3 linked regions of the Cricetulus griseus genome follow. The protein of the gene in region 1 interacts with the protein of each later gene in a pairwise test. Links are inferred from orthologs where the notes say so. Each region holds a gene or a part of one and is shown in the gene's direction. Other genes may lie near its edges. The genes, in order: Ttc23, Crebzf and Trim10.

Region 1 (3,647 bases):
AGACCCCCGTGTTAAAGGCTTGGCCCCCAGCCTGTGGCACTATTGATAGGTGGCAGAACCTCTAGGCAGTGACATGGGAGCCCAGCCCCTCCCTGATTCCCTTCACTTCTAGTTACCATGACACTCTTACCATTGCCCCATCACGGGACGCAGCAGAGCCACAGGCTGGGGCACAGGCTGGAACCTCCAACAGTGTGAGTACCATTAGCTGTCCTTACTTTATGCTGATTTATCTCAGGTGTTTGTTTCAACAGCAGAGGGTTGTGTAGTCACAGCTCTGGTCTTCAATTCCCTTTCCATTTTCCATGCCTTCGATCTTCCTTCTCTTGCTCTTCTGATTATCATTTATGTCAAACCATTTTTATTTTATCAATCAGTGTGTTTAAGAGTTTAGAATGGAGCCAGGCAGTGGTGGCACACACCTTGAGTCCCAGCACACTCAGGAGGCAGAGGCAGGCAGATCTCTGTGAGTTCAAGACCAGCCTGGTCTACAAGAGCTAGTTCCAGGACAGCCTCCAAAGCCACAGAGAAACCCTGTCTTGAAACTCGCCCCCCAAAAGAGTTTAGAATGGTTGGGATTTTTCTTCGCTAGTGTATCAGCTAGATTTTCTAGTTTTGTTTTTTGTTTTTGTTTTTTTTTTTTGGTGTGTGTGTGTGTGTTAAAGAAATATAAAGAGTCCACAGAACTATATGGGTTGTGAGGAGTGACTGATTTCTAGGCAGAGAAAATGTTCTATCAATATCCTAGTGTGTTCGGCTCTGGGATAGCTTCCCCCTCCCTGCCCCTCATATCACCAAGAACACTAAAATGTCTGAAAAACAAGAAAAATAGCTTGCTGTATCCTTCTGAGGTGAAAATAGTTTCTGATAAAATGAGCAGATTAACGGGCACAAGAGAGTCCCTCGAACTGGCTTCTCTTATCCAAATGGTTATTTTTAAACCTTTCACCGTCACTAACAACATATTTGCTCCATCTCTGCTTTGGATCTTTGAGCTATTTTCAAAATGTTCTTCTGTGCTCTTTTCAGATATGGCCGAGCAGTATTTTCAGGAAAGCATGACTCATGTGAAGGATTCTGAAGGAGCAGGAAGAGTCAAGTTCCTTTCCATTCAAGATGAATTTTGCAATTTTCTGCAGATCACTGGACAAAAAGAAGTAAGTGAGTTTAGATCACAATTGTCAAGCTATTCCTACGGGATGCCAAAGACTACTCTTTCAGCCTTCAACCATCTGTTAAACACCTAGTATATACAGGGCATGTCCTAGCCTCTGGAGAGACCCAGGTAAGTAAATCAAGGAGCCACTCTCAGGCAGCATCCACATGCTTCCTCTTAGAAACAAAACAGTGAGAAATTAAATGCTACATCCAACTACAAAAGGTCACGAAGGGTTGAAAACCTTGAGAACTCAGTGGGCAAGAGCCCTCACTGAAGCCCAAGGTTCTTCCAGCTGGGGTGGTCTGTGGCCCTCAGTGTGGTCAATTCCTTTTTTCCTCTTCTGTATATTGAATGGAATTTTCATTTCTAACAAAAACTACCCAGCACAGAGGTCCCAGCTCACTGTCTCTGCTGCTGGTCTGTAAAGGCATGCTCAACATGACTTAGAAAGGTAGGACAAAGCCAGAGCTTATAGTATACTAAAAAAAATTTCCGTGTAAGTCAGAGCAGCTCCAGGAAAAGAAAGTAGATAATTTAGAGGTGTGTGGTGTGTGTGTGTGTGTGCTGTGTGCTGTGTGTGTGTGTGTGTGTGTGTGTGTGTGTGTGTGTGTGTGTGTGGTATGTGTGTGCATGTGTGATGTATGTGTATGTGTGTGGTGTGTGTGTGGTATGTGTGTGTATATGTGATGTGTGCATGTGTGTGGTGTGTGTGTGTGTGTGTGTGTGTATGTGTGTGTGTGTGTATGTGTGTGTGTGTGTGTGTTATGTGTGTATGTGTGTTTTCAGTCTAGCATAGCAGATCTTGGAGATGAAGATGAAAAGTAGTCTTTCTTTGTTGTCTGGAGTTGTCTTTGTTGTCTTCTCCCTACTACGCTTTCCTCATCCTTGACTTCTTTTCTCTCAGTTAAGGACCACGGGCTTTTATTCTGCACTCATTCCATTTGTCAGGCCAGAGTAAATGCACAGTCACCATAACAAATAGTGTTTCACTGTTCTTCTGAATCACCCAGCCAAAGATACAGGGCCCTGCTAGGGCCTCGGATTCCTACCCGAGACTCCATCTTAGTCCTATGGGGACTTCACAGGTTCCTCATTCACCTCCAAGTTTCCTCAACACACACATGGTTTAACATTTCCCCTCCCACCATCCATCATCTCATCAGGACCACTCTAGAATCTTCTCTTTCCCAGGTGCTTCCTCCCCACTTTTACCTTAATCTGTTCAGATTCTGAAAGCACACCTGAACATCGAACACTCATTTGGTTCTCCAATGAACCTTAATACCCTCATGGCAAAGCTGGCATGACCCTCCCAATGTCCAGAGTCTGCTGATGTTTTGTTTTGTTTTGTTTTGTTTTGTTTTGTTTTGAGATAGGGTTTCTTTGTATTGCTTTGAAGCCTATCCTGGCACTCGCTCTATAGTCCAGGGCTGGCCTCGAACTCAAAGAGCTCCCCCTGCCTCTGCCTCCTGAGTGCTCAGGATTAAAGGTTTTGCCACCACCAACTGCCCAGCAAGCTCCAGGAGCCTTCTGTCTTTGCCTCCCTAGCTCTGGGATTACAGGTGCACACCACCACAGCCGGCATTTTTATGTGGGTTCTGGGGATTGAACTCAGGCCCTTATGCTTGAGGTACTTTTAAAGACCATCTGCCTCCCCAGCCCATACTGCCCCTTTCTAACACCTCCCTGCTATGACTGCTCTTAATAATTCTGGTTCTTCCCATTAAGTTTTCCCATCTGCTTTCCATTGTCATCAGAATGTGTCTTTTAACTTGACACGCACCCATCCTAGTCTCCCTAGTCAACAGAAGCAGTGTCAAAAGCTTCATTCAGGAGAAGAACCTCCAGCCCTTCTCCCCATCACTGACTGACTTCCCAAAGCCCAGCAGTCAAATCCCATGGGAAAGCCACCTCACAGGTGTTGGGAGGGGGATGCATGGAGATCCCAGACCTCTGAGTGCTGCAATGAGCCACACTTGGCAAGTTACACAGTTGCTTTGCCTGAGAAGTTGATTTCTGCTCATTACCACCCTTAATGTGCCAACCCAGTCACTAACTCACGTTACTGCCCAAAAGGAGCCATGTTCTTCATTCACATGTCTGCCTGTCTACGACATGGAATCGGGATGTGCCCCCATCCACCCATACCAGGGCTATGCTATGGGAATCCCTTTCTGTGGTCCTGGCTTTATTTGACTGTTGAATTCAGCATTCACGTTGTACAACCATAACTATGTTTTCAGGTGGAAGATCCAGTAAGAATTTCAGGATGTGTTGGAAGTTCAGGCTTTCCCCCTGTATGTCTTAGTATCTGCAAACATTAATAATCGGGGAATATTATTTTCTGACCAGCTCCTATTTTCCTATTCCATGTTGGCACAAATAAATAGGACAAAGCATGATGTCATGCTCCATGGAATGTTTACTTTCGGCTTCCTAAGCATTCACCGTGAGAACAGAAAGTCCAGAAGCACAGCCTAGTTTTCTC
Region 2 (4,329 bases), about 21 Mb from region 1:
TTCATAGTACTTTATATGTGATCAAGTAGAGTGTGTTTTTAAGGAACCAGGAAGTAGAAGCAACCCGATAGGTACACAGACAAGAAAAGGAACAACACATAATAATAAAGTTTGTTAGCTTCGGGCTTCTTCTCCACTCTAACCTGTGACAAAGGCATGACCTGCTTTTTCTCAGGCCAGCAGCTTCCCCTCCACACCTTCTAGCTGACCGTTGGAAGCTGGTCCAGAACATGTTTACCTGAAGCTGTGGCCCTGTCAGCTCCTCCTCCTTTCCATAAATTGATCAGTCTGTCAGTTCGAAATGAGGTGCCGGGGCAGATCCTAGGCCACCGAGAACATTTAACACTACCAATCCCTGTGTGTGTACTTAATTTTTAATTAAATTTACTTATTGCTGCCTGCTATGTTTGAGTTGTTCCTGCTTTTAATTTAATTAGCAGAGTACAGCCTGACCAAGACCCCTAGAAGATAACATGCCTCTGTGTGTGTGTGTGTGTGTGTGTGTGTACACTGCCAGGAAGCCTAATTTATTTTGAGCTTAATTAAAATAACTTGTATGATTCATTGCAGCCCTATTCTCCACTCTCCTCCTCTCTCGAATTCAGCTGTACTGTCATCGGCTTTTCTTTGGAAAACATGAGCTATGGTGTAGCATTTCATTATATTGTAAACGCTTCAGGTCTCAAATCCGTTATGCACTGGAGAAATAGCATAAACAACCCAGAACCACAGATTCAGAATGTGGTGTTTTCTTCAAGACAGCTGACTTGGTATTTTCAAAAAGCCAGCATTTTAAAAAGCAGATAAGGGGGAAGGAATTGCTATAGCTTGAGAAATGAAGAAAACAAAAAACAAATACAAAAGAACAAGCACAAGACAAACCGCAAAACAAGAGACTATTATACAAGACACCCAATCCCAGCAGACCAGCTAATGCTGGAAGTGATCGCGTTGCAAAAAAACAAATAATGATGTTAATAAAATAATAATCGTAATAGCCGTGGTAGTAGTATGAAAGATTATCTGAGACTAAGGACTTCTAAGAGAGTTAGAGAACAGCACATAAATTACTTTGAGGTTGGTAACACTAGATTAGGAAGGATAGTCTTTTGTTTTAGTGGTGGCTATTTCCTCAGGTTTGTTTTGCTTGCAATTGAGGGAGAAACAGCCAAGTGTTCACAAATCCATATATATATATATATATAATATATATATATATATATATATATATATATATGTATGTCATATATGTCTAGAGGTCAAGCGTCGGATTTTCGAGTCTGATACTGGGTAGTAGTTAGTACTGATGAATGAGGGAGTGTAATCGTAGGTTTTCATTGTTTTTGCCGCTGTTACTATGACATCATCGCAAAGCTAGAATTACTGCCCCTCGAAAGCACCCGGAATCTCGCGATATCCTGGCTGGAGGAGCGCGCTGCTGGTGGGCGGGGTAGGGAGAGCGAGTAACTTCCGGCCAGGCCGCTGTCTGGGTGGCGCGGCCCGGTCCTCGCGGGTGTCGCCGCTTCTCGCTTCCACGGCCGTCCCCCCGCCTCGTGCGGGGGGTTGGGCGGCCGCGGGAGGCCACTCAGACCTTCCCCGGTGCCTGCGGTTCGTTCCGCGCCGTGGCTGTGCCCGCGGGGGGCCCGGGGTCTGAGGGGCTGCGGCCTACCCGGGCCCGCCGCCCGGCTCCATGAGGCACAGCCTGACCAAGCTGCTGGCAGCCTCGGGTCGCGATTCGTCGAGCCACCGCGATAGCCGGGAGCCGGCCGCCACGCGCGCGCCGCCCGGGGACCCGACTGCGGCCGCCGCGGGGGCGGAGACGTCAAGGTCCGGATCGTCTGGCCGCGAGCCGCGGCGCGGCGACGGGGGCGAGCCGGAGGAGGCCCGGAGGGGGAGCCGCGGCAGCGTGGCCGTGCGCGCGCCCGCGCCCTCGCCAGTGAAGATGGAGGAGGAAGAGGAGGACGCAATCGCCATGGTCCCCAAGGAAGAGCCGGAGGACATGGACTTTCTCTCTGGGCTGGAACTGGCCGATCTGCTGGACCCTCGGCAACCGGACTGGCACCTGGAGCCCGGGCTCAGCTCGCCCGGGCCCCTGTCCTCGTCCGGCGGAGGCTCGGATAGCGGCGGCCTGTTGAGGGGGGACGACGACGACGAGAGCGCGGCTGCCGAGATGCAGCGCTTTTCTGACTTGCTGCAGAGGCTGCTGAACGGCATCGGGGGCTGCAGCAGCAGCGGCGGTGACCGCGGCAGCGCGGAAAAGAGGCGGAGAAAGTCCCCGGGAGGAGGCGGTGGCACCAACGACAACAACCCAGCGGCGACCAAGAGTCCCCGGAAGGCGGCGGCGGCCGCTGCCCGTCTTAATCGGCTCAAGAAGAAGGAGTACGTGATGGGGCTGGAGAGTCGAGTCCGGGGACTGGCCGCCGAGAACCAGGAGCTGCGGGCCGAGAATCGGGAGCTGGGCAAACGCGTGCAAGCACTGCAGGAGGAGAGTCGCTACCTACGGGCTGTCCTGGCCAACGAGACGGGACTGGCTCGCCTGCTGAGCCGGCTGAGCGGCGTGGGACTGCGGCTGACCACCTCGCTCTTCAGAGACTCGCCCGCCGGTGACCATGACTACGCCCTGCCGGTGGGGAAGCAGCCGCCGGAGCTGCTGGAAGAGGACGACGCGGCGGGAGGAGTGTGTCTCCATGTGGACAAGGATAAGGTGTCGGTGGAGTTCTGCTCGGCGTGCGCTCGGAAGGCGTCGTCGTCTCTTAAAATGTAGGGTCAAGTAATCTGCTCTTTATCCGCGTTTACCCCTTTCTACTCCCTTACACCATGTAAAACACCTTTAGTGGGACATCTTCACCGGACACATTTCAGAGGCGGAAAAAAAAAAGTAATATTAAATCTATTAAGTGTTTAGCTAAAAGCATGAATGTGACACTGTAACCAACTCCTAATGATAACCTGTGACTATTAAATCTCTCTGACAGTTTCTTTTTTAGGTGATTTCCTTCCTGCCAGGCTCCGTTGTAGGGGTTACAGAACAGTCGTTCCCGCCTCACAACCTGGTAAGGATCCATCTCTTCACGTAACGCTCATGCTCTGCTGCTTAGTCTACTTTTAATGGGCAACATCTCAATTTGTGTGTGTGTGTGATATATTTTTTTGTTTCTTTTTTCTTTTTGAAAGGTGGGAGGGGAATCTTAATTTGGGCCCTGTCCACCCTGGAAACAGACTTGTGCTGGTCAATAATGTACTTAAATTGCTTTTGGTTGAACTAGCTGTTAAATGTGTCCCCTTGTTCAGAGTTGCGTGTACCTAGCTCTTCTGTCCCCAGTGTGGACATGGCCTTGGATGACATCGGTTCCAACTGTACACTGAAACCTGCTAATAGAGATACAGTTTGGAGACAGTGAAACAGGTGAAGTTGAATGGAAGTTCCGAGTTGTACAAGGTGCAAATTGGAATTCCAATTGTAGCAACTTTTCAGAGGTTGACAATAAGTATTTGAGGCATGCACAAATGTGGGTATTTTTCTGGAGATGAAAAATCTCTTAAAATACTTAAGAATGCCTTCTAATTTTCAGTAGAAAATAAATACAATCTATATAAGATCCCAATATTTCATCACTTGAAAACTTGGAAGTTAACATACCCATCAGATTTCTGTGTTTTAATTAGAGGAAGAATGATTAATGAAATGTTTGAGGACCAGCACAGTAATTAAGTATGAAGAAATTGTTGAAAGCATTTATTTTTGTTGTATTAAAATTTAGGCTAAATTTGTGTATGATTAGATATTGAAGGTTGTGAAAAGTGAATGAAAACATGTAAAGTGAGGCTTCACAAAGAATCTTATTTTCCATATTTCTAAAACTTTTGCCTTTTTAAAATTAAATAGTTCTGGCCACTTAATGATATGACTGAGGCTGTTTTCCAAAGATGGAAAATATTCTTCCCTTGAAATACTGTTTATTGTCCACTTGTCTAAATCTGTGTTATGATGTCTTGAAGTGCAAGAGACATTAAATTCTTTGTGAAACATCACTGTTTGATAAAGGATATACGTATTTAGCATCCTTGTTTTTCTTTGTGCTAAAGTGGATACAGCTGTTGGGGCAGAAGAGACGGGACCAGCTGCTGGCCACATTTCCTGCTTTATTTTAAAAGGTAGTATAAGAAATAAGGAAAAAGAGGTAATATCAGGGCTTCTGCTGTCTTTTATTTTTAAAATGTTCATAATTAAGTATTTTCCAGCAGTCCAAAGATGTAAGTTATCTTACACGTAAGATGTCTTATTTTGTTACTTGGTTATGGAAATGGAATCTTGTTCTTGCACAACTA
Region 3 (3,647 bases), on another chromosome or scaffold:
AGATCCCTGCAGGGTAGGAAAGGGCACTGGGTGACCCTTGTGGGAGCTGGATTGGACCAAGGGAAATAGAAAGGTGTTGTCAATTCTGGGGTGGAAGGGGTATCCTGACTCCAAATTCTTTCTCCTTACCTTGATCACCCAGGCAAGAGACTCAAGCACAGAAAAGCACAAGGTTATGATTAAGAGCAAGTTCTATGCTGTTTCCTTGTGACCCATAAATAGCAGGAGCTCAGTAAATCCTTTCTGAACGAATGAGTCATCAAGTGTGTGTGTGTGTGTGTGTGTGTGTGTGTGTGTGTGTGTGTGCGTGCGTGCGTGCGCGCGCGCGCGCGCGTGCGCGCGCCCTGTATCAGTTTAAGTGTGTCTGAGGTTTGCATTTCAGGGAATGCCCATGTTTGTATGTTTACAAGAGTGAATGTCTTCTGTGTGGAGGGCTGGTCTGAGTGTGATGTATTTGAAACATGCTTGTAACTAAATGTTCCTGGTGTGAATAAGCTAGTTGGGGGAACACATTTGGTTTTCATTAAATGAGTATATTGCTGGTTTTAGTTGCTTTTATACTGTGTTTTGATATAAGCAGGTGTGTATATATGTATGATGTAGCATTTATTAATGATCTTTTGATAGTGAAATTTTTCTATGTATTCTGTTTTTATTTTTATTTTTTTAAAGACAGGTCTTAGTGGAGCATTGCCTCAGACTAATTATACAGCCTAGGATGACCTTGAATTTCTGAGTCTCCTGCCTTTACCCCCTTGAATGCTGGGATTATAGGGATGTGCTACCATACATGATTTATGAAGTGTTAGGGACTGAACCCAGGGTTTCTTACATGCTAACCAAGCACTTTAATAACTGAGCTACAACCCCAGGTTTTCTATCAGTGTTCTCAAACACACATGTGGGTATCTATGTGTTTGGTTGTTCCTAATTCTCTTCTAGAACAATTTATAAAATAGTGCATCAATTATTTTTGTGTGAAATTCCTTCTCATATCGAATCATTTCTAGATTATTGGTTCTAGCAAAAAAAAGAAGATGTTATTTGAATCTATTTCCTTTGTATGACATGATTTCAGTTTCAGCAAAGAACATGCAGCACTCAGGTCATAGGTAATACTTGCCACATGCAAAAGAAGGTAGTTGTTTAACCTGAAGAAGGGCTCAAAGGGTAAGCAAAGTCATGACCTTTGATGGCTCATGAGAAGGGGGTAAACTCTGGTCAACGTCTCTGGAGCATAAAGCAAGAGGAACAAGCATCAAGGCCAGGCCTGGTGGTGCTGAGGCAGGAGGATCCTGAGTTTGAGGTAAGTCTGGGCTACATGAAATCCTGCCTCAAAATCAGAATAAGGAAGAAGACTCTGAGTCTCTCAAGGTGCCAGGGTTCGCATTTATCTCCAGGGCATTTCATGTCCAGAGATTGAAGAGAGTGATGTCCCTTTGTAGTTACTTTCTCCATCTTAATATTTTATGCTCCTTCTCCCCAGGAACAAATACAAAACTGTCTTATGTGTCTAAGGAAAGAGAGAACGGAGATTCAAGAAATCCAGTCAAGAGAAAACAAAAGGATACAGGTGCTCCTGGTAGGTCTCCACCTCCCCAGGCCCAGCCCTTGCTCCAGAGTCTGGGGCCACCGAACAGACAGATACTTGAAGGTGTTATGACTCTGACGTTAACTCTTCCATCTTGAGCAACTCTCTAGCTTTAGCTTACTTGCCTGTAGAATGGAGATTAAGATTCATCTCCTTACTGAATCACTTACTGCAGGAATTAGTGTAATCCTGCCTCTAACACCTTAATGGTGTGTACACAATGTGTGCTTCCTGCCTGGCAAGATGCCAGGCATCTCTGGTGTCTCGGGGCCCCTTTCAGAAGCCACAGTAATGGCAATGGGGCCATGTCGGGCCTCATGAGAAATGGGGTGGCAGGCAGAAAGAATACCAGCTGCAGCTCCACATCCATATGGGGGTCAAGCAACAAGTGGGAGTGGGGGGCTGTGATTTTGTCACCAAACCTTGGGAGGTGTGGGTATAGATCAAGAGGCAAGTGGAAATGTGTAAGGGAAAGGAAGGGGAGAGGAGGATTGTGGGTGGGGGATGGGATTCTGCTGTGGGGAGAGGAAAACGTCCTTCTTGGGTCTCACTTCCTTCTCAGACTCAGGTGGCCACCAAGAGACAACAGGTGATTTCCCAGTTCGCACATCTGAGTCAGTTCCTAGAGGAACAACAGAGTGTCCTTTTAGCTCAGCTGGAGAGGTTGGATGGGGACATCCTGAAGCAACAGGAGGAGTTTGATTCCCTGGCCACAGGGGAGATCTGCCGGTTCAGCACCCTGATCGAGGAGCTGGAGGAGAAGAACAAGCGGCCAGCGAGGGGCCTCCTGACGGTGAGACCCGGCCTGCCCTCACCCCCGGGGGTCTCTGGAATCACTTCCTTTACATACCTGGCTCTGCATCCAAGATAGGTTGTGGAACACAGGACCGGGGGTGGGGGTGGGGGTGGGTGCTACATTCTAGTCTGTGCCTCACCAAGAATTCCCTGGTCATGGTACTCTCTGGCCTTGGTCTTCTTTCCTGGCATCCATAGAATGGGAAGAAGTGAGGATCCAACAGTAAAATAAGGTAGAAGTTGCTATTGAAAATTACCAAGTACTGTGCAGACAACTGCCAGGTGCTGTTTCCAAAGCAAAATTTTCATAACTTGAATGTCCCCTCCACTGGCCAGGAAGTTCTCCCTTTACTGAATTGCCTCCTTGAACTAGAGGAGAGTTACTGGGGTTCCAGCAACAGGATTTACAGGGATGCACTGGGTACTGGGAAATAAGAGACCTTGGTGTAGGACTTGCATATTTTTGCCTGTTGCTAGAAGTTGGTCATATCACCAACTCTGTCCATGAAGCAAAGGAGTTGGGTGCTGGATTTTGGTCCCCATGGATCTGGGGCTAGGAATATGGCATTTGTTTTTGTTTTTGTTTTTGTTTTTGTGTGTGTGTATAACAAAAGTAGAAGAGAAAAGCCAGAAACTGAATCAATCTCTCTCTCTCTCTCTCTCTCTCTCTCTCTCTCTCTCTCTCTCTCTCTCTCTCTTTCTCCCTCCCTCCCTCCCTCCTCCCTCCCTCCCTCCCTCCCTCCCTCCCAGGATATCAGAAGCACTCTAATAAGGTCAGTGATACAATGCCTATTTCTTCTTTTCACGTAGATAGCCACCCGCGGTCCACCCACCTAGTTATTGCTGTGCAAATAAACCACACTCTTACATGAAGGGCACACAGTCATGTGTAAATCTATGCTTGCCCTAATGTGTTCTCATGCACTGCTGTTGATCTACCCACTTGTGTAGCAGTAGGGTCTGTCTGAGAGGATGGGAAGTTGCTGCTCCAGGCCTTGTTAGAAGAAGATAGCAGCCTGGAGACATCATTTTTAAAACAGAATAATTCTAGGGGCCAGAGAGATGGCTCAGTGGTTAAGAGCTGTTGTAAAGACCCTGGGCTCAGTTCCCAGAACCCATATAGCATTTCACACACACATCTCTAGTTACAGTGGATCCTATGCCCTCTTCTGGTCTCCATGGACACTGCATGCATGTGTCACACTACATACATGCAAAAATTAAGTATTTTTCCCCATACTGCCATTTCTGTGCCCCTAGG

Evidence for each region.
Region 2: the proteins of Ttc23 (region 1) and Crebzf interact in binary tests that used the Homo sapiens proteins (3 or more experiments, as listed by UniProt). The two-hybrid records come from large-scale screens. The link is inferred for Cricetulus griseus from reciprocal best matches to the Homo sapiens genes TTC23 and CREBZF.
Region 3: the proteins of Ttc23 (region 1) and Trim10 interact in binary tests that used the Homo sapiens proteins (3 or more experiments, as listed by UniProt). The two-hybrid records come from large-scale screens. The link is inferred for Cricetulus griseus from reciprocal best matches to the Homo sapiens genes TTC23 and TRIM10.

The regions. Positions count from the first base shown.
Region 1 is NC_048596.1:129,512,634-129,516,280, reverse strand, and holds part of Ttc23 (tetratricopeptide repeat protein 23), read left to right. Parts: intron 1-1,029; coding exon 1,030-1,157; intron 1,158-3,647. UniProt on the Homo sapiens protein: Participates positively in the ciliary Hedgehog (Hh) signaling.
Region 2 is NC_048596.1:108,656,734-108,661,062, reverse strand, and holds the start of Crebzf (CREB/ATF bZIP transcription factor), read left to right. Parts: upstream 1-1,458; 5' UTR 1,459-1,690; coding exon 1,691-2,760; coding exon of another isoform or gene 2,761-2,764; exon of another isoform or gene 2,765-2,975; coding exon 2,976-2,991; 3' UTR 2,992-3,053; exon of another isoform or gene 3,054-3,291; 3' UTR 3,292-3,406; exon of another isoform or gene 3,407-4,086; 3' UTR 4,087-4,329.
Region 3 is NW_023276806.1:228,876,540-228,880,186, reverse strand, and holds part of Trim10 (tripartite motif-containing protein 10), read left to right. Parts: intron 1-1,486; coding exon 1,487-1,582; intron 1,583-2,153; coding exon 2,154-2,384; intron 2,385-3,136; coding exon 3,137-3,159; intron 3,160-3,646; coding exon 3,647-3,647. UniProt on the Homo sapiens protein: E3 ligase that plays an essential role in the differentiation and survival of terminal erythroid cells. May directly bind to PTEN and promote its ubiquitination, resulting in its proteasomal degradation and activation of hypertrophic signaling.